Linked DNA regions of Rhinolophus ferrumequinum. The protein of the gene in region 1 purifies or fractionates together with the protein of each later gene. This does not show direct contact. Links are inferred from orthologs where the notes say so. Each region holds a gene or a part of one and is shown on either strand. Other genes may lie near its edges.

The links.
Region 2: the proteins of RABGGTA (region 1) and CHM purify together in Homo sapiens (co-immunoprecipitation; 4 studies listed by BioGRID and IntAct, counting the BioPlex papers as one, with this or other methods). This does not show direct contact. The link is inferred for Rhinolophus ferrumequinum from reciprocal best matches to the Homo sapiens genes RABGGTA and CHM.
Region 3: the proteins of RABGGTA (region 1) and CHML purify together in Homo sapiens (co-immunoprecipitation; 3 studies listed by BioGRID and IntAct, counting the BioPlex papers as one, with this or other methods). This does not show direct contact. The link is inferred for Rhinolophus ferrumequinum from reciprocal best matches to the Homo sapiens genes RABGGTA and CHML.

Annotation. Positions count from the first base shown.
Region 1 is NC_046289.1:74,411,045-74,421,183, forward strand, and holds the start of RABGGTA (geranylgeranyl transferase type-2 subunit alpha), read right to left. Parts: upstream 5,067-10,139; 5' UTR 4,835-5,066; intron 4,521-4,834; 5' UTR 4,467-4,520; coding exon 4,464-4,466; intron 4,289-4,463; coding exon 4,178-4,288; intron 3,792-4,177; coding exon 3,667-3,791; intron 3,474-3,666; coding exon 3,286-3,473; intron 3,029-3,285; coding exon 2,825-3,028; intron 2,507-2,824; coding exon 2,423-2,506; intron 2,334-2,422; coding exon 2,251-2,333; intron 2,163-2,250; coding exon 2,061-2,162; intron 1,957-2,060; coding exon 1,851-1,956; intron 1,766-1,850; coding exon 1,714-1,765; intron 1,546-1,713; coding exon 1,457-1,545; intron 1,303-1,456; coding exon 1,214-1,302; intron 1,120-1,213; coding exon 1,003-1,119; intron 399-1,002; coding exon 285-398; intron 48-284; coding exon 1-47. UniProt on the Homo sapiens protein: Catalyzes the transfer of a geranylgeranyl moiety from geranylgeranyl diphosphate to both cysteines of Rab proteins with the C-terminal sequence -XXCC, -XCXC and -CCXX, such as RAB1A, RAB3A, RAB5A and RAB7A.
Region 2 is NC_046284.1:68,792,630-68,802,619, forward strand, and holds the start of CHM (rab proteins geranylgeranyltransferase component A 1), read left to right. Parts: upstream 1-5,902; 5' UTR 5,903-5,952; coding exon 5,953-6,001; intron 6,002-9,990. UniProt on the Homo sapiens protein: Substrate-binding subunit of the Rab geranylgeranyltransferase (GGTase) complex.
Region 3 is NC_046310.1:18,519,028-18,529,441, reverse strand, and holds CHML (rab proteins geranylgeranyltransferase component A 2), read right to left. Parts: upstream 4,944-10,414; 5' UTR 4,655-4,943; coding exon 2,735-4,654; 3' UTR 1,843-2,734; downstream 1-1,842. Other genes in the region: OPN3 (opsin-3), read right to left, coding at 8,818-9,190. UniProt on the Homo sapiens protein: Substrate-binding subunit (component A) of the Rab geranylgeranyltransferase (GGTase) complex. Binds unprenylated Rab proteins and presents the substrate peptide to the catalytic component B.

The DNA.
Region 1 (10,139 bases):
GTGACACCGTCCAAGGACTCTATGGCATTGTCGTTGACCTGCAGCACCTGGGTAGCAGGGAGGAGAAGGCAGGGCAGGCAGCTGTCAGCCTGAGACTGGTGATTCATGCACTTATAGTGCATGGAAGGGCTCCTGCAGTCAGGCTCGGTGACAGAGGAGGCAGGCAGGGGTCATCTGCAGGGGCTGCGAGCACCTAGGCTCTCTTTGTAGGGTGGGCAGACTTCTGAGGTGGACGAAGAGGAAAAGGACCACTCAGGACAGTGACGGAGGAGTAAGTGCTTTACCTCAAGGCAGCGCAGGGCTGCCAGGGCAGGCGGCAGGGCTCGGAGACGATTGTTCGACAGGTCAAGATGAGTGACCAAGAGTAGCTGTTCCAGATGGCAGAGCACCGTCAGATCCTGAGGAGGGGGTGACAAGACCACCCAGTGGGGAGGGGCCTCAGCTATCATTTATCAGACACTTGCCCTCTGTGCCCCACAGAGGCCCGGGGGACCTCAGCTGAGGAGAGGATGGGGCAGGTGGGAAGCTTACCTTACAAGCCACCAGAGTACACACTCCAAGGACAGATGTGAGTACTGGGGTTGGTGGCCAGTGGTGTGGATGGAGTGGGGACAGGTAGAGGGGACAGAGGAGAGTGGGGGGGGAAACACAGATACTGGCGAGGAGCAGGCCTGGCGAGTTGAGCCCATTTGGTGGGAGCAGAGATGGGCTGCAGTGATGTGTTAGGAAGATTGGGAAGAACTACAAGCAGAGAAAGATAGTCTGTAAAGTTTGTGAGGAATCTCTGGGAATTATTCAGCCTTTAGATATTGCTCTGCTCCAATGAGCAGAGGAGGAAATGGCCAGAAAGGCACCTGAGACTGAAGGCAAAGCCAAGAGTGTGGAGAGGCTGGACAGAGAGGACGTCCGCGGAAGCCTAAGGACTGGAAAGAAAAGCTGGCCAGGCCATGAGGAAGAAGCGTGGCCCAGAGGGGAGGCCCGGGAAGCACACGGAGCCCATACCTTGTGAGCCAGTTGCAGCACGCGCACCTCCGCATACTCCATCTTGAGCACACTGTTCTCTACCAAGAACTTGCTGCGCAGGTCGTCCAGGTATGCTGCCCGCATTGGGTCCACAGCCTGGCAGGGATGGGGCCGGCAAGGAATTCGTGGCAGCTGCCTTCCTCCTGCCCCCGGGGCCATCCCCTTGCCGGTTCCCAAAGCCCCAGCTTGCCTTAAGGGTCTGGAAGTACTGCAGCATCTCCTTCTCATACAGGAGGGGGTCCAGCGCCCGCATCAGCAGGATGACAGTGAGCAGGCACCCTGAGAAGAGGGCGGGAACGGGACCGGCTCTCCTGGACCCTCCTCTGCTCCCATCCTCTTGAGACCCTTCCTGCTCTTCCCAAACCTCCCCTGCTCCGCTCTCCCAGAAAGGGGCCTCCTGAGAGGGGCAGGATCCCAGGGAATGGGGCCTCACATTTGTTCTCAGGCTCCAGCTCCTGCAGTTCCTTACAGGATTCAAGTTCGGACTGTAGCACGGTGGACTTCTCCACTGACAGCTCACACCTGAGGGTGAGTGGGGTGGGGGTGGGGGTTATTATGCTCATAGCCCTCGGCTACTGCCACACCCATATCCAGGCTGCGACCATCTAACCGATCCCCAGCCTCCCGCCCCAATGGCCGGATGCCCAGAGCCCACAGCCCACTCCTGTCGGTGTGCCTCCCTGTCATCACCTGAACAGCTGCTCATCTGTGGCCGAGTCCCGGCACCAGCCCTCTTGGTGGCCTGAAAGAAAGAACAGGGGCAGGGAGGGGACACCCATGAGAGGAAGAGGGATGCTGCAAGGGGTGGAAGCTGCAGGTTGCGTCACCTTTTAAGAGCACACACTCCTTCTGAGTATCGCCTGTTGTCCAAATGACACGAAATGTATGTTGGGGCTGCTGGTCATTGAGGGAGGTGCTGGGCAGGTCACAGATGTGGGAGCACTGGGTCAAGGAAATACCTGGCCATACCATTTTTCTGACTGTCCCACCATAGCCTTGCCCCAGCTCCCCAGTGCGCCCCACCAATTCTGGGATATCCAGACGTGGCTGGGCCGGTTCCTGCCATCTGGGGTCCTCCACTCCACAGCCAGGAGTGACTCATCAACAATAAGCAGCAAGGTCTCTGTCCTAGAGCCCACCTGGCACAGGGGACAAAAACAGACCTGTCAGTCCCAAAAGCACGAGGCCCATGATCCATGATACTCTGGCAAAAGCTGCAGGACTCACCAGGAGGGGTCGAGAGAAGGAGACAGTCAGACAGGCCTCGTCCCGGCTCACGTGCAGGCAATGCAGAGCATCCTGGGGATCAGCTGGCAGGAAGACACAGCCTGAGGTCTCCTTAAATCCTTTTCCTTTCCTTCCAAGCCCTCAAGACCCAGCCTCCTCCCCTACGGCTCACCTCGTCCCAGGAGCCAGCGGTGATAGAACCAGGCACTCTGATCATTGGGGTCAGTGAAGAAGGCATTCTGCACGAGTTCAAGCTCTGGGGGGGTCAAGGGGGCACAGGGCTGTGCTTAGGACCCTGGTGGGCTCTTAGCTGCCCCAACATCCCACGCTCTCCTCCCAGTACCTTCCGTCCTCAGTTTCACTATATGCGGGCCTGGCACAGCAGCTGCATATACCAGTTTTGTTTTCCCGATTGGACATTTGAGCTCCCTTCTGCCATGGACTGAATCTTATGTACCCCCCAGAGCCAGGCACGGAATAACTGCTCAGTAAATCCAAGTGCACGTTCAGGAACAGGACTAAGCTGGAATGGCAGTACTGCAGAGGCCTCCCCAGCACCCCCAACCCTGCTTACCTTTAAGCAGCACATCCTCAGGGAGGCGCCCGTGTGGTCCAAAGTCTGGCTGGGGGTGCAGCTGGGGCAGGAGGCAGGAGCGGTAATGCCAGGAGGAGTAGTTGGAGAAGTTTCGGGTGATGAGGCTGTCGGTGAAGGCTAGCTCCTCTGCAGGGGGCACAGCTGCCTGTGCAGCCACAAACCGCCGGTAGTCCCAGCAGTGAACTGGGGGAGGGGTGACAACACATCTCAGAAGCAGGGCAAGAGAAGCTCGCTGTCTGGTAGCCCTGGAGTTCCCTCAAAGGCCCCTAGAAACACCTCTATGCACTCCATGGAGGATGCATTTCGCTCCATCATCCCTTTTGTCATCAGTTCAGTGGGCCTGTCCTGACCATCCCTCCCAACTCTGGGCCTTACTGAGACCCCAGTACTAGGTTGTGGGGCAGGTGAAGGCTGTGGGGATAGACTCTGCAGGCACGTACAGTTCCGCTCATCAACCTCGAGGAAACGGGCACACAGCTCCAACTCCCGGGCCCAGTTGGGCTCTGGCAGGCGGCCCAGCAGCCAGCAGCGATGGTGCCAGGTACCATAGGACTTGGGGTTCACCCTCAGGCAGCTCTCCAGGAAGCCCAGTTCTGCCTTCACCAGAACAGCCAATTCCTCAGGGGACCTGCACCCAGAGGGGAATGGGGGTCAGGGCCCTCCAATACCCAACCGCAGCTTACACCTGACTTTCTGCACCCAGCCCTTCCACTGCCCTCTGCCTATGCCTCTGGCTGCCCCATTCCTCCTCCATCACTGGATCCAGGCAGGGCAGGGCCAGGGCTAGAGCCATCTTCCTGGGGCCCTGAACCCCTACACACTTCTGAGCCTCCAGGCGCTGGATCACCTCTCGTCGACAATTCCAGAGAGTGGCAAAGTCAGGGTTGGCTCCCAGAATCTGGCTTGTCAGTTCCAGCACTGATTCATCCAGCTCGCCAGCCTGGCGCTGAGAAGATAGGTAGCAGGATCAGAGATTGTTATCATTCTCACACTACAGGACTAAGTAACACAAATAGAAGTACAGAATTTTCTATAAATCTCATACAACAGGTACTATGTACAGATGTAAAGTGCTTCATGGGTTTACATATATTCTCTCATTTGATTTTCACAACAGCCTTATGCAGTAAGTGCAATTATTAGCCCGATTTTACAGATGAGCAAATTGAGGCCCAATAGAAATTCAGTACCTTTTCAAGGTCACATAGCTAAGCTAGTAAGGGATAGAACCCAGATACGGATCCAGGCAATCTGACTCTAAGGCCCAGTTCTTGGCCTCTCTGCTATATTAAAGGGGCTACCTAAAGAGAGGGCTACATCTGAGGGCCCCACCTTCTGGAAGACAGTCTGGGTGGCTGACTGGTATAGCTTCAGCTTCTGTTCACGCTCTAGCCTTTTGGCCTCCGCCTGCTCTTCTGAAGTCTTCACCTTCAGGCGGCCGTGCTACAGGGAAAGGCAAAAGGCAGGTTGGAAGGGTGCGGGCTGTCTTGCATGGATGGGCAGGCCCACTGAATCCCCACTAAAGAGCCCCAGGTTTATAAAGGGAAATCGAGAGGCAAGACCACTGGGGCAAGGGCAGGGGCATGCAGAAGTGGGGGGCTGAGCTCTGGGTTCTCACCATGGTGTCGGCTCAGGGTTCAGGATAGGGGAGGGATCCAGAAGTAGCCCGTGAAACCTAGGGGGAAAAGTGTCAATCATGGGAGCCCCGCCCCTGCGAGGCCGGCCTCCAGTTATCCCGCGGAAGCCGCACGCGAGCCGAGACAGAGACCCTCGGGGTGTTAAGGGGTTCTGGGCAGGCATTGCACGTCCAGAGGCAGCGCCCACCCGGACTGGGACTTTCACTCCTGCGGCCCTGCCCACAGCTGCCTGTGCCGGGACCGAACCCAAGCCGGGGCACTTGGGCGGTGGAAACCACTCCGCGCCCGGAGCCTGCAGCCACCCGCCCGCCCCACAGTCCCAGGCACTCCCGCCCCGCGCGGGCCGACCCACCTGCGCTGGGAGGCGGCGGCGGGGACGCGGAGTTGCGGCACCCGCCACCGAGCCCAGGCGCTGGCTAGAGCGGCGCCCAGCCCCGGCTCTCCGAGGTGCAGCGCCCTCTGCAGGCCTGCGGAGGCCCCGGGCGGAGTAGGTGGGCTTCGCAGGCGCGTGCGCGGGGTCCGGAAACGCCAAGGCCCGGTTTGCCCGCTGGCAAGTATGAGTGCGCAAGCGCGGCGACTGCGGTCTGAGTCAGCTACTCCAATCGCAATTCAGTTGAAAAGGTTTCTCCGACAGCCGAAAGCCACGCCCTCACGACTCCGCTGACCTTCCTCTGGCTTCACTGACTACATCCCAGTTGCCAGATCTAATGGATGGAGTTTCCTGTCCTTATCTTCCTTGACCTTTGCATCTGAGGCTACTGATTTCGATTTGACACCCTGTTCTGGCTACTGCACCTTTGCCCCTCTGTTCTCCCCTAAATATTGATGATCTCCAAGGCCCTTTCCTCACCCCTTTTCACTTCACTCTCTGTTGTCTGGAGAACGTTCATGAATTGAACGTTCATGAGTTGAAGCTCCCCAGAGCTGTGTCCTGGGCTCACGGATCTTCCTGCCCACACTTTCTCTGGGTGATTTCATCCACACTGATGGTTTTAATTACTACCTGTAGGCTGATGGCACTCCAACTTGTATCTCCAGCCCAGATGTTTTGCAAGCTTTAATAATGAATGAAAAATGGGTATGTGCGCGCGCACACACACACACACACACACACACACACATTCAAAAACCTATTGTTTATCACGTGGGTGTCCCAGAGACATCTCAAATTCCAAGAGTCAAAAGGTATTGTCTTCCCTCCATTCAGTCTAAACTTTAGCCTTTATGTTTCCTACCGTAGTGAATGGCACTATTCTCTTCCCATTTCCCCTTAATATCTCTTAAATACCCTCCCTATTCCCACTGCACTAAGAATTTAAGCTCATTTCTTCCCTGGGTTGTTGAAAGTCTTTTCCTTGTTCCCCTATCTCCACCCTGTCCCATCTATTAACAGTTCATCCTCTGTGCTGCTAGATCAGTCTTTCTAAAATGCTGGTTTGATCATGTCACATCTCTGCTTAAAAGCCTTCCATGGCTCCTGACAAATTTTCAAGACAGACTTTGAATCTCTCAGATTAGCACAACAGGCCTTTTGGCACTGGGCCCTGCCTCATGTCCTGCCCGTCCCTGTTAAATACTCTTCATCACAGCGGATAGGACTAGTACTTGCAGCTTCCCAAACATGTTAATCTGTTCCCTCTTCTTGACTCTCCTTCCTTTTCCAGGCAACTCCTGTTCATCTTTGAGATTTAACTCAAGTGTCACCACCAGGAAGTTCTCCAAAATGCCCCAGTCTGATTTAGAAGACCTTCATATGTGCTGTCAAAGATAGTGCTTGTTTCTCTGTGCCTACTATAAATCTTGGTTTGTACGCCAGCATCTCCTATCAGATTCAAAGTTCCTGGAGCACAAGAACAACACTTTTGGTCTTGCCTCTCTGCTACCTAGCCTTGGTTCTTAGTAGTTATTGGGTATTTATTTGAATGAATGAACAAACACCATGTAGTGAGGGCTGGTTTGGCTGGGCCTAATAGTGAGTACGGTTGGTGTTTGGGGATGGGAGAGAGCATGTGGTTTGGGCCAGCTCAGGAAGGTTTCCTGGTGGAGACTTCATGGGGTTCAAGGTGATAGGGAGTGTGTATGTGTGTGTGATGTATTTGTAAGAAGTATATGTTCAGGTAGTATGTGTATGTTTATAACTCACATCTGGGTAAGACAGTCTGGCTTTCAGTTCTTTGTATTTCTTCCACATCTTTTTAATAAAACCTACCTGCTAGAGTTGAAGTGAAGATTCAATAAAATAATGTATGTAAAGTGCTTAGAACAGTGCCTGCACTAAGCAAGGCAGTGCAGTAATAAATAGTAATAGTAATTTTCTAATTTTTGTGACAAATATGCAAGGAAATTGAGTCTCAGAAAGACTAAGTAAATTGCTAAATGCCAGTGATATAGTAAGTGGCCAAATGGGACTTGTATTTGGTCTGGTCCAGCACTCGCACCTCACAAATGCATTATTTTTTTTGGAGTGGCGGGCACCACCCGCTCTTGCTTCCTGTTCTATACACACTCACATTTACAACCAGATACCTGGGAAGATAGATGCCCACAGGTGCAGATTGGCCAGGTACAGTCTTACCTCATAGTCATGAGGGAAGAAAAAAGGGTGGATAAAGGCTGAAGCAGGCATGAAATACTTTTTAGTAATTAGCGATCTTGAAACTGGGAACGATGAGTCAACCAGGCTTAAGGGAGGAAGTGAGTCTCATGAACAAATCTGCTTCCGAGAAGGTAGGGCCTGGTTGTTGGAAAGAGAGGGCAGGAAGGGAATTTCAGGTGTGCACTATGACGTGAAGGTGGGGGCGAGAAACCAAACAGACTTACGTAGCTAGCAGACAGGTGAGCCAGGTGCCTTTGGCAAGCAGAGCAGTGGAACTAATGACAAGCCTCTTGCTTTAAGGCAAATGGAGCTATCAGGAGTTATTTCTGGCCTCTGTGTGGGATAAGTGGGAAGCATGCAGGTGTCTGAGGGCCATGACCTGAATGATGTTTGAGGAAGCGATTTTACTGCCTTCTATGTAGAGAAAGGAACAAGCAATAATTGAGTTTCAACTGAGCCCCAGACATCTTATTTAATGTACTCTCTACATATGTAAAGTGGGTATTATTATCCATATTTTACAATGAGGAAACAATGCATACGGTGGAAGTGACCGAGGTTAAGTTGCTTGCCCAAGGTCACACAGCTGGGAGGAAACAGCCAGAATTCAAACCAAAACCTGGGAGCCTGCCCACTGCATACGTGGGAGCGGCCATTGACAGAGCTCCAACTTGAGTTTCTTGAGGCCAGGAACCCTGGTGTCTCTTCACAATGACCATCTCTTGCCCCATCAATACTTTCTCTACTCCTACTCCTCAACACACACACACACACACACACACACACACACACACACACACACTTCTAGGACCCTGAGTCATGGACCATAGATGGTTTGGAGGGAGGAAAGAGACCTTGAGCCCTGGGTTGAACTCTGGAGGCAGGGAGAGGGAGAAAGACACAGGTATTGGAGCTGGTGTGGGGTCTTGTGCAGTGTGTGCATTAATTCAATCTGTTGATAGGTATTGAGCATCAGAGCTGGGCCCGAGGGCATGCTGGGTGCCAGGGATCCAGCGCAGGACCAGAAAGACGTGGTCTCTGCCTTCCTGGAGCGCATATCTAGCGTAGCATTTTGCTAGAGTAGAACTTGATGTGATGTAGAAATAGTCAATATCTTTGCCATCCAAGAAGGTCAACACTAGCCCCATGTGTTTGTTAAGCACTTGAAATGTGGCCAGTGCAACTAAAGAAATGAAATTTTAATTTAATTTAACTTTAATTTATTGAAATTTAAATAACCACATGGGGCTAGTGGTTACTATTGGACAGGACAGTTCTCATGGGTGAGACGGACATGTCAGCATATAAGCTAGAGTCGGACAGGAGCCCATGGGGGTCCACACAAGGGGCCCCTGACCCAGACTGAGCTCAAGAGGAGTTTGTTCTAGATCTGGTGATATGTAATGGTTTCCAATTTTTTCCTTAAACTTCTGATATTTCTTTTTTTTCTTCCTGTAAAACTTGTCAATTAAGCACACATATATCCTAAAAGTACACAAATCGTTAGTGTACAGCTTTGATCCTGCTGTTTTAAACACTCCAGCCATAGATAGGTACGGGGCAGGGGGTTATCGGGTGCCAGAACACAGGGAATGGAGGTGAATGTTGGACGGGGTTCAGAAAAACCCCTCCTCAGGGATATTCAGGCAGAACCTGAAATCCAATGCGAGTCCCCACAGTCTTGCTAGCTAGGGGATGGGGGTGTGGGGAGGGGATGAGAAGAGGACTATTTAGGACTTGGTAGCAGGTGGGACTGAGACGCAGGGACGTGGGCGACTTTGATGCCGACCTGTAGATGGTAAAGCTGAGGGACTTGAGAATGTGTGGTGTGCACAGAGGTCTTGGAACAGGGGTGGGGGTAGAGAGTGTTACGTGAGAAGAGAAAGGCTACTTCTACCTAACACGTTTGGGTTGCTGTGGCGATGTCCTGAAGCCGCAAGAAATACGTGCCTGGAGAGGGGTCTAGAGGGCAAGGCAGAAAGTGTCAGCGTGGGCGCAGGCAGTAATTACACCCGGCAGGAATGGGCACTCCAGGAGGGGGGATGAGGGAACCCACAAACAAGCTGTGGCAGAGTCATGGTGAGGGTAGGACGGGGGTGGGGTGGGGTAGGGGTGGGAGTGGGTGGGGTGCAGGGTGGGAAAGTCTCAATGGGGAAGCAAAGAAAGAAATGGACTTTGAGGAGAGGTTCTATGAACTTGAAGCCAGTATTAATAAGAAATAATAATGACTAAATGTTTTACAGTCATAATGAAACTGAGACTCTGCCCAAGGTCACGCAACTCATAAACCATAAGGCCTGGTTTCATGCCCCGACTGTCCGATTCCAGAAGACAGGTTCTTGCTCACTTTCCCTCCAGCCTAGTCTTGCCCACTGGTCTCTCCTGTAGCCGGCAAAGGCAGAGAGTGGGGAGGAAGGTGAGAGGAGTGTGGAAATGCCTCAGACTTCTGGAAAGCTGGGGTGGGTGTGCTGGAGGGCCTGATGGGGAAGGAAGCCAGCAAGGAAAACTCAAGCCTAAAGAGGTGTATCTTTGTGGGGCCGTAGGTCAGCGGTTACCATGTGATCAGTAGTTAGACATATGGATGGGAGCAGCCAGGCATTTGCGGGGAAATCAAATGTTGGGAAGTCTGAGGGTCAGCTTAGGTTGTGGTAAAAGAATTGCAAGTGGAAGAGCTGAGCAGGGAAGCTGAAGTACAGCAGGAAGGGTAATGTTGGAGCTTCCCCATGGCCTGGGCAGAAGTGCACACTTCTTATCTCTTGTAACATGGACCCTCCTCTGCCTCAGTTTCCTGACTTTCTAACCCTGACTACCACGAACAGAACATCAGAGCTGGAGAGATCTTGACAGATCATCTGGCCCCCTGCTCATTTCCCAGCAGCCCTGTAATGGAAAAGCTCAGTTTTTCACCTTCTGTGTAGGAAAAAACCCAGTTCTTCTCTACTAGGAGTCTTTCACCTGCGAGTCTCCTTTACTACTCACACAGAACACTTCACTTCTGACACTGCTGGTCACCAACTGCGGGGAGGTTTCCCCCTATGACAAGTAATTCTCTGTGACACAG
Region 2 (9,990 bases), on another chromosome or scaffold:
ATTGCAATAATAATTATAAAGTTCACCAGTCTGTAGGATCAATTCCAAATGAGAAAATGCTAAATCAACAAGTATATGCATTTAAACCATTAACAGATATTGCCAAATCATCATCCAAAGAAATTGTATCAATTTTCACTTCCATCAGCAGTGTACCCATTTCCCTATACTTTTACCAATGCTGTGTGGTATCAAACATTTTCATTTTTGCCAATCTGATTGGTGAAAGTCGGTGTTTCCCACATGCTCACAATGACTACTCCTACCATAACTACTATAATACTAACAACAGCATTTATTGAGTGCTTACTACCAGTCCATTATAGTTCTAAGTACTTTATTTATTTATCACTCATAACCACCTTGGAGGGTAAATAATATCATTGTTGCCATTTTAAAGATGAGGCAACTGAGGTTCAGAGACGTTAAATAACTTACCTGAGGCCCATTGGTAAATGACGGAATTGGGACTCAAACCTAGGAAGTCTGGCCAAGAGTCTGAACTCATAACCATCATCCTATACTACCTCCCTAAGAAAAGGATGTTCTTTGCAGCATCATTTGTAGTAGCAAAGGACTAGAAAAAACACAACTGAATATCCACCGATAGAGGAATACTAAATAAATCATGGTATATCCACAAAATGGAATTATACGAAGCCATTAAAAAGGAGGCATTCCTATATGTACTGAGAACAAAGGATCTCCCAAATATATTTAATGCAAAATAAAGGTATAAGGTGACAAATAATGTTTATAGCCTGCTACATTTGGTGCCAAAAAAGACAGGGATTACTGATACACACACACACACACACACACACACACACACACACAATCTCTAACAGGATTCATAAGAAACAGATAGTAGTGCTTATTTCTGGGGAGGACAACTGATGAGCAGGTAGGGTATGGAGACTTATTAGTCTTAATAGGCCTTGTATGACTTTTTGTGATGATTGGATTTTTTTATTAACCCTGTATGCATTACTTGTTGAATTATGCATATAGAACCAGCTGATGAAACAAGTTTGCTGAGCAATAAACTGATTTTATTCCCATTTAAAATAATACTCGTGTTGTTTTTTAAAGACTCTCTATATTTTATGATTCATCCATTCATTTAGCAGATTTTAAATTTTATTTATTTTTGGCAAATAAAAATTGTATATATTTAAGGTGTACAATGTGATGTTTTGATAGATGTATGCAGTGAAAATGATTACCACAAACTAACATATTAACCCCTTCCTACAATTACCATTTTTTGTGTGTGGTGAGAGCACCTGAGTTCTGCAATCTTAGTAAATTCCAAATACACAATACATTATTATTGACTATAGTCACCATGCTGTATATTAGGTATCCAGAACTTATTCATCTTATAACTGAAAATATGTACCTTTTCATCAATACCTCCCCAGCCTCTGATAATCACCATTCTACACTCTATTACTATGGATTTGACTTGTTTGTTTACTTATTTATTTATTTATTTATTTATTTTCCACATACAAAGGAGATCATGTGATATTTGTATTTCTGTGTCTGGCTTATTTCACTTAGCATAATGTTCTCCAGATTCATCCATGTTGTTGCAAAGAGCAGCATTTCCTTCTTTTAAAGTCTGAATAATATTCCATTATATGTATACACTACATTTTCTTTGTTCGTTCATCTGTCAACGAGCATTTAAGTTGTTTCCATATCTTGGCTATGTGAATAATGCTGCAATGAACATGGGAGTACAGATATCTCTTCAAGACAGTGATTTTATTTGCTTTGGATATATACCCAGAGGAGGGACTTCAGCAGATATTTTTGAGTGCCTATTATGTGTCAGGCAGGGTCTAAATAATGTATCGGGAATATAATGATGAATAATATAGGTATAGTCCTTGCCTTTGTGAAACTTAACTTCTAAGAAAATGGCAGATATAAAACAAGTAATTTTAATACTTGAAATTTTCAATACTTAATTTTGAAATAAGTAATTTCATATTTCTAATCATGAAAAGTTCAACAAAGGAGGGGTATGGGGTGTTAGAAGACCTAAGCTAGCTAGACTGTGCACTAAATGAAGACTTGCCAGAGTATGTGACCTTTCGAATGAACTGAAAAATGAGTAGAATTAAGGTAGTAGAAAGGGTAAAAATGCACCTCAGGCACATGGAAGAGCATGTTTCAAGTTCCTGAAGCAGGTAGGAGCATGGGGTATTAGAGGAAATGAAAGACAGCCAATGGCTGGAGCTTAGAGAGAAAAGGGTGTAAAATGAAACTAGAGAGTTTAGCCTGGCCTTTTAGACCATGTTTAAAATTTTGGAGTGTGTTTTAAGAGCAATGTGAAATCATGAAGGATTTAGGTCGAGGAGGACATGATCGGATTTGAATTTTTAAAAATTTACTCTACCTGCAGTGTGGAGAGTGGATTAGAGAGAAGCAACCACAATTATTTATGGACCCCTTATGGGGTCCAGCTGGGACCTGCTGTAGTATTCTAGGCAAGAGATTATGAGGGTAGTCCTGATTGAGAAGTGGATATATTTACAATATATCTTTGAGATAAATCTGGTAAGAATTGCCAATGAAATGGTTGAAGGGTGAAAGAGAATGATATATTAGGGATGATTCTTAAGTTTTTGACTTGAGGAACTGATTAGAAGGTGGTGTCATTTCTAAGGTAGGAAACATTGGATGAAGAGAATTGGGTGTGGGGTTGAAATGTTCAGGAATTCAGTAATGAACATGTTCAGAAGAGATGTTGAGTAAGGAGGGGTTGGATATATGTATGTGGAGCTCAAAGGAAAGGACAGGAATAGAGACCATCAAATTATAGGTTTGTAAAAAAGTAACACATCAGACTTCACAGTCGAGTACACTTATGAATAGAAGGAATTTGGTTTTCAACTCAGGAAACCACTAAGTATAAAATTAGTGTCACAGTGATTTAATCGGGTAGTCAGTTCACAGGTATCCATCATCGCATTGTACTGTGACTTATCCAATTAAAATATTTCAGTTCTCAAACATAGATGTCCGTAGAATAATGGAATAGACAGAAATTTTACTGACATTATCAACTCTTATATTCATCTTTACTTTGCAAAAAATGTATAAAAATACATTTGAAAGAACAGGTATTTTGAGCATTTTTTCCATGTAGAAGCTTTGACTATTTCTAATGTAATAATCTTTTCCCTGCTTAGAGAGGGTGTGATGACTTTAGAGAAAGAACAATTAAATATAGGCTGGCATTTTATCTTTCTGAGGGTCATGCTTTCTAGCCTCAGTGGGATTTGAAATTTGGGGTAAAACATGTTGGAAAACTAGCACTACAGAGTAATTATTTGTTTGTTTTGTTTTATTCCACTAGATGCAATGTTCATGATGATAGGGGATTTTGTCTGTTTTGTTCATTGCTGTAATCCCAGCTTCTAAATCAGTGCCTTGCACATAGTAGGTACTAAATGAATATTTAAGGAAAATCGAAAGTTAGATATAGTCATATTGAAAAGGATATACTATACGAGGTTGGACAATTAAGTTCGTGAACTCATCCTAGAAAAAGTGCTATATACCTCATTGCTGAATATCACTACGGTCACCTTTAAAGTACTCCCCTTGGAAGCTATGCACCGACACCAGCACCTAGTCCACCCTTCAAAGAAATTTTGGAACTCTTTTTCTGGAATGGCCATCAGAGCTGTCATTGTATTACCCTTGATGTCCTGAATGTCATTAAAATATCTTCCTTTCAATATTTCCTTTATCTTAAGGTAAGGAAAGAAGTCATTGGGGGCCAGATCAGGTGAGTAGGGAGGGTGTTCCAATACAGTTATTTGTTTACTGGTTAAAAACTCCCTCACAGACAGTGCCCTGTGAGCTGGTGCATTGTCATGATACAAGATTCATGAATTGTTGGCAAAAAGTTCAGTTCGTCTAACTTTTTCATGCAGCCTTTTCAGCACTTCCAAATAGTAAACTTGGTTAATTGTTTGTCCAGTTGGTACAAATTCATAATGAATAATCCTCTGATATCAAAAAAGGATAGCAACATCGTTGTAACAAGTTCGTGGACTTAATTGTCAGAACTTCTGTGTGTGTGTGTGTGTGTGTGTGTGTGTGTATACTTGCATATACATGTATACACATATATCTCCAAAGTAAGATAGAAATATTTTATCATGTTTTTAACCACCCATTTGTGGTTTCTCGCTGTTAGAGGAGATTTTGGAAAGTTTCCTGTGTTTACCCTGGGAAAACTATTAATTTCCATTTCCATTGGTGGTATTAAGAGTCTCACAGATAAGATCTATTTCACTTCTGATAATATTCATGTACAATGTTGCTAACGATTAGGGCAAAATGCAGCCCAAAACAGCAAAATACTATTTTCAAGAATTTTCCTGGAACTTTAATAAAGTAACAAAGATATCGAGTGTCTTCAAATGACGACACATGAGAGTGGTGCGCAAATATAAAAGCGAAGATTCAGTCCCTGTCTCCACAGTATTTACCATCTATTAGGGGAGTCAGGACTAAGCTCAGCTCATCAAACATTTGTTAAATTCCTACTACGTGCCAGGCTTACATTAGATGCAGGAATTAAAAACAAATAAGGCATGGTCCCTGTATTTTTGTGAGAATGTGTGGGAATATGGGTACTATATAGGAACCAATATAAATGCAAATACTTTCAGTGCAATATGGGAGGTTATGTCAGAGTGGTAGCGCTATGTAGGGAAATTTAACCAAATATAGGGAAGAGATGAAAGGAGGAGGTGGTATTATAGAAGCTGAACTGAATCTTGAGGACGAACGTTGCTAGAGAATGTGAAGATCATACCATGCAGAAGGAACAACAGAGTGACTGGGGAAACCACCAACATCTTGGAGGACAGGTGGTGTAAGGGAGGGTCCACTACTGCACTTTCTCTTCGAATTATTTTGAAAGTCTTGCAAAATAACTACACAACTAATTTCTGAGATCAAAAAGTACGGTCCCTCACTCCCATGCACACCCCGCCCCCTTTTGCTTTAGTATTTTCAGACAGCAAAGAATTTTATATAACGGGGTGGGAGGAGGCTGTCTTGAAAATACTTGTGAGAGCTATATCAGCTGCTTAGCATAGACAATCTAAACCACCTCATCAAATACAATCACCTTAATATAATGGCCATTTTATCTTGATCATTTCTGCAGTTGCTTATCAGGAGAATCTTGAATGTACTCCTCGTGTATGTATAGAAAACCAGATTCTGAATCAATAAACGCTTATCAAACAACTACTATGCTTTCATGTATTTCTTCCCTTCTGTAAAGAAAGGTTAATTTTGCCAATATATATCGCCGGGGTAGCTGTTTGGACCCACTAGAACCAATACAGACACGATGAGGGTTCCATTCTGGCGAAACAAGGGCGAGAAATTTTTCGTGAACTTTGTGGAGGAAACACAGAAACGAAAAAGATACAGGATATAGTCCGAAAGTACTGGTGTGAAAAATTATGCTTTGGGGGCCAAAACGAAAGTACAGACACGCTCGGGAAAACAGTTTCCAGGCTGGAATGACAAATTTCCTTTGTTCATAGAGCAATCCCTTTGCAATTTCACTCCGCCCTGCCTGTCTTCTAACAATTCTTGCTTCATCATTGTCAAGGGTTACCACGTCTTCTCACATTCATTCTAACCTTTGGGGTAAAAATCAACATGTGTTTTGTACTCCAAATCTCCAGGCTTAATGCGCTGTTGCACTCAGCCTGGAAAAGGAACTGAGCTTTTCACATTCCCGTAAATTTGTCATGCATAATGCTGTAGCCGCCTACCTGGATCCGCCACCCAAGAACTACAATACCCAGAATGCACTGCTTTCCCTTCCGCTTTCTACCAAGGCAATGCCAACCTTGATTTCATTTCCACAAGCAATAGTCACATGACACGTTTCCTGTCAAGATGGCGGATAATCTCCCTTCGGAGTTTGATGTGATCGTAATAGGGACGGGTATGTGTGGCTCTGGTACTTCCCGGACAAAGTATAGGAAGTCTATCTCGTTCCTACCTTATCTTGTCAGTGGCGAGGGTTGGCGAGAAATACCAGGGGTCGAGCATAGGAGGAAGGACGGAAAGGAAGTGAGGTAGTCTGGAGTCAGCGCGGGATTTAGCAGCTCCAGGGAGGGGCTTGGACCCGCGGTGTTTAGCGCCATTTGAGTAGGGGGTCGATCTGGTCGTGCCGATTGCTGAGGTTGGTTGCTGCGGGTGATTCCTGTAATTGCCTTAGAGGGAGGTGGGTTTGCAGTGCCACGAGAATGGAGGGTCGGGATTTTATCAATGGAGACGACTTTGGCATACGTTATGATTTCCTTCTTGTTGATTTCAAGGTGATATTCCCCATCATTTTGTCTCGCCATTTCATAGGAATTTTTCGTATATTTATATAATCCTAGGGTGCAGTGCAGCTCGGATACAGCTTAATCCTAAATTTTTCGCAAAAGATGCTCAGTTGTTACCCGTGTGCGTATTAATTTACTTTGGCGAGGAAACGGATTATTTTCTATTGTGTGGAGAAGCCTAGGGAATTGTATTTTTTTGAGGTAGCTATTATTCCTGCTTCATGGTGCAGAAAGAAAGCATTTTGCTTTCTACCACCCCACTGACCTACTCACAATTAAATGAGCTGAGAACAAGCTGTGAGTTCCAGTTCAGGTGTGTGATCTTATCTTCCCCTTGTTTTCCCATCGTTTATTTTCCATGTTTTGGGTGGAGCCAGAAACCCCTCTGCAATTTCTAGTTGACAAATTCTACATACAACACGTAGCAGAAGGCATTTGGCAGCAGTTGGTATTTTGTTTTTCTTAACAGTGTAAAGGGTGGATTTTAGATGGGGTGGAATAGGTTGTTGAGTGGGGATTTCTCCTGTCTGCAGAACGTGGTAGGCCAGAGAAGCTCTGGTAGAGTGAGACCCTGTCCATTGTGTTAATGAATTCAGTTCGTCTTAAAACAGTAGGAGCAGCCATGTTTCCAGGGCAGGAGTAAAAATAATGGCTACCTGTTTTCCAGTGTTTATTATTTGCTACTCCATGTGCTGAGCACTTTACAAGCTGTATGTAATCCTCACAACAACCTTGTTAAGAGTAGGTATTCCCTACACTTTGCAAGAGGACTTAGAAAGGTTGCAGTTTGCTCACAATCACATAGCTGGTAAATTTCCAAAGGCCCATTACATCCCAGAATGAGAATCAGTAGTTCAGACCCTCCGATTAACCCACATTAGTAAAGATAATTGGAAAAACTCGGTTCTAGACCTTGCTTGGCCATTAACTAGCTGTGTGAAATACTAGGGCTAGGCACTTAATTTCTCTGCTCCTCAGTTTCCTTGTTTTTGAATATAAGGAGGGTAATCTAGATAGTCTTTCGGTGTCATCTAACCAGAAATTCTCTTATTCTAGTTGTACCTGGGTAATTGTTCTCAGAACACCAAGAATGTTGTTTGTTCCCAGCCTGAAAACTGCATGGCTGCAGATAACCTGTTTGTAATTGCTATGAACAGATGTTGGATGAGAGCTGGAAGAAGCCAGTAGACTATTTATTAATGTATTCTCTTCAGTCTATCCTAAAACTGAGAACAACATCCATTTTAGAGTAGTTGTTGTACCATACTTGGGTTCTATATTATTGCCTTTCGTTTTTGTTACCGAAACACTTGGGGTGTTAAAATATCTTTTTGAATCATTAAGAGATTTTTTTTCTTACCTGGATTCATATTTTAATTGGCAATGGCACTATTTCTTATTGGTAAATGCTGTTAGTTCTTATAATAAATATTTTGCCTTCCAGTTCAATTCATAATATGGACTGCAACCATCCTGTTGGAGTATGTTATGATAGATGTAGGAAGATACTTTGAGTGATCAACAAATTACATCAGGAAGCATCTGTTATATCGGGAAAAAGATTCATTTTAGACTTAATTCAGTGAGAGTAATGTTATTTCTCAAAATATGGGAAGAACTTATTTGAAGTTAATCTTAAACATTAATGTTTTCATTATCACTTAATGGTGAACATATTCTGAGTTTATCAAGCACATTGCTTAAATTTATGGCATGAAGCTTTGTTTTTAGGTATGTCAAAGTGAAAAAATTGGATAAAAGTCATTTCCCAGATAAATTATTCTAATAATTCCAATCATTACTTAATTGGAATTTAATGTGTTTGGAATATTTCTCTTTTGAACTAGTTTGCTGAAAGTAGCCCTTAAATTGTATTTGTATTGCTAAATGTGCTGGTTTGAGTAAATCATAGGAAAAGCAGTATTTCATAGATTTAGTTTTACTGACAAAAGCAGAGTTAATCATGCATGTATCAGAAACAAGAAGAAATAATTGGGGTGGCCGGTTAGCTCAGTTGGTTAGAGTGTGGTGCTGGTAGCACCAAGGTTGTCGGTTTGATCCCTGCATGGGCCACTGTGAGCTGCACCCTCCTTAAAAACAAGGAAAAAGAAAAAGAAAAAGAAAAGAAATAGGCTGTGAGATGTAACTTTTCTTAAAACAGATTTAGTTCTATTAATAGTTACAATGTCATTAACAGATAATTGCTTCATCAAGTAAAATCATCTATGGAAAATATTTTAAATCCCTTTGACCTTGATTGATTTGTATTTCGTTTTGCATAACATAAGGTATTCCTTAAGATCCTGTTTTGAAGAGATTATGGGAAAATAAACTTTTGTATGTATTTTCTTAGTTAAGCCCATTTACTTCTAATTAGAATATACAAGAAATATCTGTGGAACACCCAAAGACAGAGTAGTTAAGATAAAGTACTTAAACCATGGAAAATACGGAAGAAAATGGAATAAGAGGAGAGCCAACTGGAGTCTCAAGGGAGAGGACAAAACTGGATATAAGTGATTAAGTGTCTAGAATGTCACCTTCAGTTTGGGTACACAATTGTCATTTTCAAGACATTTTGCCATTTAAAAAGACATTTATTTGAATGATAATTTTATGGGTTGTAGTATCATTGATTTCAGGTTAAAAATAGTCCCAGTAGCATAACACGTTACTGGAGGTGACTTACCTGGCAACCTGTGTAATCGCAATCTGCAGCAGAGCCAACAACTCAACAGAAGATCAGGCAAGATGGAAGTTACAAGAGCTACGTGATAATACTGACATGTTTCTTATTTAGGGGAATCCCTTAGACTCTTACTTAGGGCATTATTCATTCTTATTTTAGAAATAATTCTAGCAGCTCAGTGTATATTAGAAGCATCCTATTAAAAGATATGGGGAATGTTATCAGCTTCTGCAAAAGCTGTGTTTGGGGGATTTCATTAGATATAAGTGACCGTTCATATCCTTATGGGAAAGGGAAGAGTCTTAACACCTAAAATGCAAACCTACATCAAACAGCACAATGTCCTGGGACCATTTAGTGTAGTGACAAACACTCACTTTTCTGGGTTTTCAACCCACATTTACTGAGAACCTAATTACTGTCCTTGTGAAATTTACTGTATTGCTTAGTTTAAAGACCTGTTTGGGGCTCTGACATTCTCAGAGCTATTCATAAGCCAGGGTAGGCTTTTCATTGCATCCTTCTTACTTTCTGAACACCATATAGAGATTCAGTCTGCATCCCTTTCTTTTCTAAAGTACACCACACTGTATTTTGGAGTTCTTCCCCGAAGATGAGTTGTAGGATAGGCTAGCTTAATTTTTTTTTTTTTTGCAGAGGGTAAACACATAAATCCTTTTAAAAAGTTTTATTGCTAAAGATTATGGGGAAAGAAATGAGATAACCAGAATAACACACATGGAAATTACAAAGGTTGTTGTTCCTAAATCCTGACTACCTTGCTAGATAGTACTCCACAAGGTGCAATACTAGATATGGCGGCATGGCATAATTGGAATCACTTGACCTTCCTACTGGGTGACTTGGGGCAAATTGCATAACCTCTTGGGACGCATTTTGTTCATCTGCAAA
Region 3 (10,414 bases), on another chromosome or scaffold:
AAGAGGAACTCCTGGGACACCAGCTGCCTTCCATCTCACTCAGCCACAATCTCCACTGGGTTTCACAGCCAGAAGTTATGGGGACTTTTCTCCCTGGCACTGGAACCCTGGTGTGGGGCTGCGATGCCTCCCTCCCCAGAGCGGACTTCCGCAGCTGAGATATCCCACCCCATTCTTAACTGCCACACATAGATGTGGGACCAGCCTATTCCGTGTTTATGCTCCTCCTGCCAGTCTCCACGTGGCTTCTTCTGTATGTCCTTAGTTGTAGGGCTTTGGTTCAGCTAGATGTCAGGCGATTCTGTGATGGCTGTTCTGTAGTTTAGTTGTGATTTTGATGTGGTCATGGAGGAGGCGAGAACAGCATTTACCTACTCTGCCACTCTCACAGGAAGCTTCTCCCATAATATTCTTAATGCTTTTAATTGGTTATCACTTTTCTCATTTCTAATTTATTTTGCATTCAAGTTAAGAAAGTAATATATTCACTTTGTTAGTTTTTAAAACCACCCTTATATTTGGCTAGTTTAACACATTTTTCCTGTTTCCATTATGTTTGGCTCTCCCATCTTTTGCAACTTCTTTGTTCCTTTTCTTAAATTCTTAAGACTAGTGTATTGAAATTGAAGTTTTTTAAATAGGTATGGATTATCTTCACCTCCACTTTCTTTATCATCTTAAATTCTTTTTCATTTTAATGACTAATTTTTAGGTCTATTTCAGGCATTTTTGCTGGATTTAAACTTTAGGATCCACTCAATACCACTTTGCTATATTGAAAAAAAGTATATAGTATATATCTCAAATACACACACACACACACACACACACACAAACACACACACACCAATTCACGACTTCTCTATTTTTAGTAAGGTGTAAATTACTTAAATCTTTCTTGTTTCCTTTTCCTCACATATGGAAGAGCAATAAAAGATTATTCAGAGTATATTTTGCCCTAGTAACATCTGTATTTTTATAACACGATGTTCACATCAAAGGGTACATTATTAAAAAGCCTTATTTTGTGAAAAGTTAGCCAAATTCTGCTTCATGAGCTCTAAGACCTAATAGCTCTAAGCTATTATTTATTTTCAATTACTCTTAATCTTAACATATCTCTGATTCAATAAAGTGCGAGACCAATTTCTGTATACTTTTCTTCACCTTCAACACTAGACTGGTTTTCATGAGCATTTTTCCTCCTCTAGTACCCACACTCTTCCAACAGTTAATGTTAATGGAAAGATTTTGAAATCATGAAAGCCTGGATTCCAGTGTTGTCTCTTCCACATATCAGACTCTGAGCAAATTACTGTCTTTATTACCGCTTTGAAAATGTGTTCAACAACATCTGCCTCATCGGGTTGTTGAGAGTCTGTAATGAGAGAGCACAGTGAGTGCCCAGCAGGTAGTAAGTCAATGCTCTGTTCCAGAACAAGAACTGCCACTGAACAGTTCTTTTCCTACAAGATTACCATTCTCTGAGAAATGGGAACAGGGGACTGAAAGGGAAGGGAGTTTGCCCCTTCTGACAGCTCCACAGGCTTTCAACACTGGAGTAACAACAGCTTTATGGCTTCTGGTGGTTTTGTGAAAAACAAGTATTTCTATCCTCTAGATAACAGCCAAGAGGCAGAAGCAATTATGGAGGTGGTGACCTCACTATTTGTGGGGCGGGACACAACCGAAGGGACATGATAAAGCCTCCTCTGATTCACTCCCATCGATTGTAGTTAGCGCTGCTAATTACAGAGGTAGAGCCAACAAGTGGAATGTTCATTCTCACTGAGAAACCTCGGGCAAACAATCCCAGGTTAAAAACAACTCACTTGGTTTCTCCTTGAAATTTCACAACAGTCAGTATGAAGTATCTGTTTCCTGGAGCAATTTATTTTTTTCTCTTGTCCTGAGTTACTTGTTGGAAATTCTTTTCTTTCAGGTGACAGATATGGGTTCTGTAAAAATTTTCTGAAGTATTAAATCAGAACCAATATTATTCCCTAGACTTTTTTTGGACTGAACCTCCAAAGAATGAGCTCTTCAACAACTAACTGAAGATTGTGTGGTGACATTGCCTCATTGGTTACAAGGGTCAAGCAGGAGAATTAAACCACAAGACTTATTGTAAACATCATACCTTCACAAATAAAGGATCATGTAAAGCTAACCTTTTAATTAGACAAATGTATTTTATCGTATTGGCATTTGCATTAATTGCTATTGCTAGCATGTATATGTTTATATTATATACAAAAGGCCCACATAATTTACTCTGTGTTTTATTCAGAAGTGGTAGCAACTATAACAACTGCAAAGTAAAATATTCCTTAGATATTGTCATTGTCACAATAAAATCTGAAGGTCATTAGCAGACACAATATTACCTTCCTTTAAGCACAGTTGCTAATGTGGAATCCTCACATACATATCAATACTAAAATAAAGCTAACCTGTTTAAGATTCTGGATTATGGAGTATATTCTGAAACAAAGTCCAATAACCAATAAATCAGTTACTGATAGGTTAACAAAGACATCCATGACTGAATGTCTCAAACAGAATTAAAAACATCTGCATAGCACTCATCATATAACCACTTCTAATTAATCATCTAAGAAACGGTCGTTTCAATGAGAATATTCTGATTCTAGGATGGAGACCCAAAGTAGCATTTCCAATTTGCTTTTTTCTAATCTTGAAGGTGCTTCCCTGGGCTTTCTAGGTTTTTGCTTCATTCAGCGGATTCTAGTTTGGCCATTATTATATTATTGGTTCCAGGAGCCTCTGGTTGCTTATCATCACCATCAAAGACAATGTCTTCTGGATTTGGAGGTGGGGGGCAGAATTCTTCACCTGGAAAGATCTCCTGGAAAAGTGTTTCAGCTTGCTTGACTGCATGCTCATTTCCTAGTCCACAGTCAGGCCCAGAGCAGACATACACATTGGAAGGTAAGCCACTATATGAGCTTCTGCTGACTCCTGAGGAATCTCTCATATTAAAATAGAGAGCCCACAAGACTCTTGGCTTTGTAAGTTCTTTATCTATTTCAGTTTCAGCATATGGGGTGAACAATTTGTTTACCACTGATTCTAAGTCTTCTCTTGCTGTTTTAGAAGACGAACAGGTCAGATGTATCAGATAGGTGTCTTTCATACATGTCATGGTTGAAGAACATAATTCAGTGACCCGAACAGCACACATGCCGGGTTCTACTGGAGGCACTATCAAAATGGAAATCTGCTGATCTGAATCTGTCTTTAGTACAGACTGATCTGTAATGAGCACTGCCCTGGAGATCTGCCTGTACTGCACATTTGAGCATGTTTCCTCAGAAAGGTAACTATCCTCCACAATAAAATACTTAGCATTTATTCTTTGACCAACGTGATCTATAATTGCTTTGCATCTGCCAGATTCTTTGTCAACTACAAGGCATTGTACTTTATGGCGAAGACAATAGATTCCACCAAAAACTGCACACATCCTGCAGAAACACTGGGGAATTTCCCCTTGGCCATACAAGGGAAATAAAAACGGAGTGTTGCCGAACCGTCCAAGACACTGAAGAAAGTTTTTTGTTGCTCTAAGGCCATCTATTGTAGTACAGGATGACTCTGTCATTGCAATTGAGTGTAGTACAAAATGCTGAAGGTTGGGGGTTAATTTTTTAGTTTTTAAGTACTCTGAAAATGAACACTGTATGAAATCTTGGTATTCATCGGGATGTTGTTCATAGTCTAAACAAAATGTAAGAAACTTCATTAGCATCCTCTTTTCAACCATAGTGAGTTCTTTGCTATTAAATACATCTGCTCTGGAACAAGGCACCTGTTCTACTTTTCCTTCTCGAAATGTAAGAATCCTAGTGACATTTTTAAATTCAGCATAACGACTAACATTTGATTTGATTAAAAGATCAATTAGCAGTCCTTGAGAATATAGCAGCTTTGATACTAAGTCAATATTAAACTTTCTGCCTTCTTTAACTATTTGAGAGTAAGTAATCCTATTTCTCTTTGGTCGATCAGTGTTGTCTTCCACTATAGGTTTGTTTTCATCTTTATCTCCTCCTGCAATGGTGTGCATACAAGTTTTATCTCCACAATATTTTTCTTTCACCTGAGTTTCCTCTATCCCAGTTACTTCTAGTAAAATCTCTCCATCAGTTTTTGGAGTGTCTTTGACAGACATTCCGTAGCTCGTACCATATAATGAGTGTGTTTCTTCAGACAAGCATGCAGAATCCAGAGGTTTAGTAAGGGTACCAGATGCTACCAAGGAAGGATTTTTCTGCAGACGATCAATCTCTTCAATATTGTCATCCATGTCCTGACTGGCGTAACAAAACACTTCTGTGTGTTGAATGGTTTCATCCTTCCTATGAAGAGTGATGGCTTCTTCTGTTTCGTGAATCAGATCTTGCCATGTAGTAGTACTTTTGTCCCCAATGTCACTGTTTTGCTGATACTCCTTCAACCAGGAGAGCAATCCTGAAAAGGTGAAGCTAGCCCAGTTTCCTCCATAATAACTTCTTGAATCAACATGCAGAACCCTCTGACCACTTCTTGAACATGCAGCTGCAAGGATGGATTCAGGCAAACCTGTCCCTATAATAACCACATCAAACTCTGTAGGGAGACTGTCTGCCATCCTGAGAGGTAAAGTGTCTCGTGATGACTGCCGATGAAAGAAATGTGTATGAATCTAGGCTGAGGGCTCAGAAGAGGTGTGAATATGCTGAAATAAAATCTCTCTTTGTGATGTTCCAGTTCATCCCAGAAGTATCGAGGTTGCAGGTCCTAGCTGTACTGTTACCCCTTTTTAGTGTTTTGTTTTTGTTTTATTCCTTATAGATCAGTAGCACAAAAACATGATAAAGTACATCTAATCACATTTGAGAATACTAAAGCGGATGTGTAGTTTTCATTTCTGCATTTCATCTTAGCAGTAAATGTCAAAATGCATTACATATGCATTTGTGACTGGAACTCTTCTCTGAAAGAAGAAAATTCAAGAAATAATACAGTTGTAAACAAGATTAAGAGAAACATAATTTCATGCAACAGCGATTACAATCCATTGAAGCCTGACTTATTAGGACATAAGCTACTACTAAAGCAAGTCATTAAATGCTTTCTCACATATTTTCTAATTTCTTCAAAATTAACAATAGAGATATACTCCCCTCAAATCAGGCAATTCAATAATGAAGGATATAATAATGTCCCACCAAAACAAAGAACATAATGCCATTCTATAACTTCTGCTTTTAAGAAAACTAATATGTGAATAAAACTATACCCAAACGTGAGCTTAGACTATAGAAATGTGTAGCTCTGCTGTGTTTATGGAAACAGACTATATACGATGCGCACGCTGTTATGAGGAGAAATGTTTTGTGCCCAGTACCATCTGTGGGTGATTCCAGAACAGTTGAATAGAAGACTTTCCCACACCTCACTCACCACTAGGATCTCGTGGTGGCAACATGGGGCTATTTCAACTGAATTAACACATCAGTTTATTATAAAAGGATTAATTCAGTAAAAGAATAAGTCTACTGAAGGGAAAATGTATTTATAATAAATCTTTATGTGAGTATACATACGTACAGATATGTATTTTTAGGTATAAAAATTCTGGATTCAAATGTTAAAATATATTAACAAAAATAACACCTACTTCTAACATTTGAATAGGCTGACCTGCATTTTGACAGATTCACTCTGTAACCCTAAATCTCTGTGTCCCAATATAAAGATCTGTCTAAACATCTTCTGCCAAGAATAACATGTTTGCTGTTCTTGTTTTTGAAGGGGTAGGAGGTGGTACTTAAGAAAGGCCTATCACTGCTTATATTCCATGTGCAGAACATCTGTGTGGTGCTAGGTTTGGCCAGAGGTGGAGCAGCCAAGGGGGTAAAAGGCACACTCACCTGGAAGTCTGTAGGTTAAAGCACTACACACACCATACGCTAGGGGGCCCTGCTATTATCCATCACTGCAAAGTAAGAGACTTCTTTGAGCTTTGATTCTCCCCACTATTAAACTTACTGAAATCTAGACCATTACAAACTGGGCCTGCCTAGGCTAAGATGACTAATTATCTTGGACATTTGTAAAACAAGCCATTCCATCAAAACTTAGATTAAATTGACTAGTTCAATGAAGTGACTGGTCAGTTTAAGTGACATGGCTATCTTAACAGTCCTATATAGTCAAAGTCTCTGCCTCAAGAATATCTGGGAGTCCACTTGTTTTCAGCATTCCGTGAGAAACCAGAAATTGAACAGAATGAAGTGGTTGCCTGGCCTACTCATGTATGTATGTAAGTGTGTCTGAATTACTTATTCTGCCTTCTTCCAGGAGGGTGTGCAGAGGAAGACAGAACCCATTAGGGTATAAGAGGTGTAACCACAGTATGTGCTTTTTCTTGGCTTACAAAAGGGATAGAGCTGGGGATGAGAGTAAGAGAAGAGGATAGAAGACATAAGTGCTAAAACCAGGAACCTTTTAATCGACAACTATCAAAGGAATCCTCAAAATACACAGCAAGTAGGCAAGGCAATCTTAAAAATGATTTAGTCAATTATCCCATAATAGAGATATTATGATGGCTGAAGGGCTTAAGTGATGGGGAAGTCCCCACAATGGTTTTAGCCACAAGATCAAGAGTAGGAGCCACTCTCCTGCCATCAGGCCAGTGGTCTTTCCACGTGATAGGGCAGCCTCTCCAGAGGCCTCTGGAGCAAGCAGCCACTTTTGGCATTTTTATTTCCTCTCATGGTTGGTTAGATCTTGCTCAAGGATGACAAAGGGGAAAGCACCCCCTTTTTCTTTATCTTTAACTTTTATCTAAAAGCACAATCCTTAGAATTGACTTCAAAGAAATTCTTAATCTTTGCTGAGAATGTTTTAAACCATCCTAATCCCACTATTGACTTGTCTCCGAGGGTTTAAACAAGTCTCTTGATCTCTTACCCCAGCGTTTCCATTTCTAATTAAAATGCAGAGATAGTCACGGTTGAAACATTAACTAAATGTCCAGATAAACAGAGCAGTGGTCAGGGAAAATACCATGTGGTGAATATTTCTAGTAGTCTTAGATTATCCCTTCTGATCGGGATGGGATCTGAGTAGGGATGATGGAAGGAAAAAGGGTGGAAGAGACAAGAAGACACAGCAAGGTGGGGTCACAGAGGGAAGAGATGAGGAAGAGACTGAAAGTTGCTACAATAAAGAACTCAATATATACCCTTGTTTTCAAACTCCCATGCAGAGTTAAGATAGAAATAGAATTCCCCAGCACAGAAAGAGCACTTCTTAGAAATAAGGACTTTCACGTCTGTGACCAAACACCTCTTGTTCATCCTTGGGAGCATTATTGATGACACTTTAGGCTTGAGCTTGAATCACTCTCTTTAAAGCTCAGCCCTGCTTAAAAAAAATTGCCTGATAGGTATTTTAAATTAATATACAGTGTAATCACATAACCATCTATATCACTGCCTACATATACTTACAGCCCTCTACCAAGTTTCAAATCTTCATACAAATGAAATTCTCAGATTAATGCTTATTGGGGAGGGTAAAGGTAGTATTAGAATATTAGAATGATTGAGGAAATCAAACAAATGAAATCATGGTATCTATGGCTTTTTTGTTTCCTTCAAAATATCAAAAAATGAATCATTACAAATATAATCTTCCAGTTTGTCATAACATATGAGGTTGGTAAACAAGGAAATTTTGATAACGTTACAAAGATTTTGTTCTCAAAAACCTGCCAAAAGCAGTAAAAAAATTATCAACGGATTTCAGGATTTAAAAAAAAGAAAGCTTTAACACCTGAGAAACACACATTTCTATTTCAAATCTTCGTACAAATTAAATTCTGGAGCACACATAAAAAGATCATTTCTTTCCTGAACTTAGAAAATCACATCTTCATTGATATGCTGATGGATCCATCTTTCAAGTCTCAGTGAGACTTAAACCTTTGGTAAGGATTAGGAATACTGTTGAAATAAATCTTTAAAAATCAAGTTCTACTTCAATGAAATCTACTGGCTGTACAGCTAATTTTTTGTTCATCTGAGTTGAGATTCTGAGTTATTTGTAATCTCACTTTGGATTTTGATGTGCTGGAACCCCTAAGAAGGAAAATATAGTAAAAATAGCTTATCAGGCTCAAGTCAATTTGCATACTGACGACCCGAATGATCTCAATTCCTAGGAAGCATTCAAAAGTGTACAGTTGCTAATGAGCGAATTACACATTGCTGCTACTCTGTTAGGTTTCTACCCTCTCGTTTTAGGAAACAAACAGTATATAAAATCTCGTCTCATCACCCTCTACAACTTTCAGGAGTTCATCACTTTTGTTCTTGATTTTCTGACTCTCTAGTGCCTCGTTTCATTCCTCAAAGTGTAAAAGCCAACGTCTCGTGCCCTGTTGAATTACAGGGATGCAAACATAAAAGAGACAAGAGGGCCAGTGGCTGGACAGAGTTATGAAGGAGCTGGGGCTGATGACAGACGGGCTGAGGTGTCGGGTCCGCGTGGGTGTAGATCAGTGACCACAGGGGCGGAGTCGAGGTCAGCGTGGGGCAGTTAGAACTGAGGGAAGAAGGAACGCCATGCAGCTTGGGATCTAGGAGCGGGAGGGGAGGCGCAGCCGGAGCAGGGCGGTAGCGGGGGTGAGGTGAGGTTGGCTGGGTGGCAGGAGGAAGCGCAGAGACAGACGATGGCAATGCAGGGAATGGGAAATTGGCAGAGGACAGAGGGGTGCTTTCTCCTTCCGGCTCAACTCACCGAAGAGGCTGCTGCTAAACCCGTCCCACACGCAGCCCACGGAGTCCCAGACCCAGCCGTTCCGCAGGCAGGACACGAAGGTAAAGGTGACCCCGAAGAGGGACACCAGCAGGTCGCTGAGGCTGATGTTGACCAGGAAGAGGTGGATGGGAGTGCGGAGCTGCTGGAACTTGTAGTAAAGGACGAGCACCAGCAGGTTGTTGCCGACGCCCAGCAGCCCAATGGAGCCGAGCAGCAGCGCCAGGCGCTCGTAGGTGCCCGGGCTGAAGAGCGGGCCGGGGCTCAGCGTCGCCGCCAGCGCTGGCCGCTCGGCGCCCGCGGGCCCGCCGCTCTCCCACAGGCCCTGGCAGCCGTCGCACTTCCCCGGGAACATGGCCCCGCGCGCTCGGCGGGAGGCGCTCAGCGTTGGGTTCGGCCCGGGGCGTGCCGGGCACTGGGAGGGGCGCGGGCTCTGCCGCCGGCTCTGGCCATTGTGCGCGCTGGCACCGCCCTCCCCACCGCCCCTTCCGTCCGGCGCGGCCTCGTAGCCACGCCTCCTCCCCGTGGGCGCGTTCCCGCCGCTCCCCGGCCCGCAGCGCGCCCCCGTCGCCACGCCCCCCGCGCCCCTCGTCGCCACACCCCCCAGCGCGCGCTCGTGGCCACGTGGTCGCGTACTTGCCCCGCTTTTCCCGCCTCACGTCGCCAGGTCCCATCCGCTCCTGCCCCTGCAGGCGCCCGGGCGGACAAAGCAGCCGGGAGGCGAATCAACCGCAGCGGCTTCTCACACCCTGTCTCTCCCTCACCCAACTTGAAAGTATCACGTGCATTCACTCACTTACGCATTGGCTCATTCATAGACATTCATGAGTGCCTGTGCCTGCCCTGTGCTAAGGTGGTGATGGGATAAGGGACTCCCACCATAGGCTTCTCTCCTTCCCAGGAAGCGAGCCCACAACGCCACTCCCATCTCACACACAGCGGAAGCCCCCGGCTGGACCCCGAGGGCTGCCAACGTGGTCCTTCCTGGCCTGCTCTGAAGTAGCTGTAGAGACATCCTGTTGCCGAGGCCTGCCACAGCCCAGGCTGGCAGTGACTGCCCAGGCGGTGCCCTCAGAGCTTCAGCCTAAATCTAGCAGAGGTAGATCCTATATTTAGAACAGCACGCTTTTCCCCAGTAGCAATGAAAATATAGTACAAGTCAAATATAGGTTGTGAACGTCATCACTCTCTGCAAGAGCTGCACCTCTGTCTCTGCACAATCAGCCCCTAAACAAGGCCCCGCAGAAGGACCACAGCCCTGAGCCAGACCTGCAATCTGTCCTGGGCTCTGGTGACTAGCACAGTGGATGGAAGAGCAAAGGAATTGCCCTCCATGAGGGCGTTTATCCCTCTTACCTCTGTTTAGAAGGACCAGGAAAGAATGACTAGCTTCAATGAAGCTATTCCAAATCCAAATCCCAATCCATTCCAAATCCCCTGGTAATGGAATCTTGTCTTCAGATCAGGGTCAGCTCTCCACCCTGGTGCATTGAACAATAACTGAGAAGCAGTGAGCTCTGCCCTCAAAACCTTGATTTGTCTCTAAGCCTTCCAAAGTGGATTTGTCATCTATGAGACT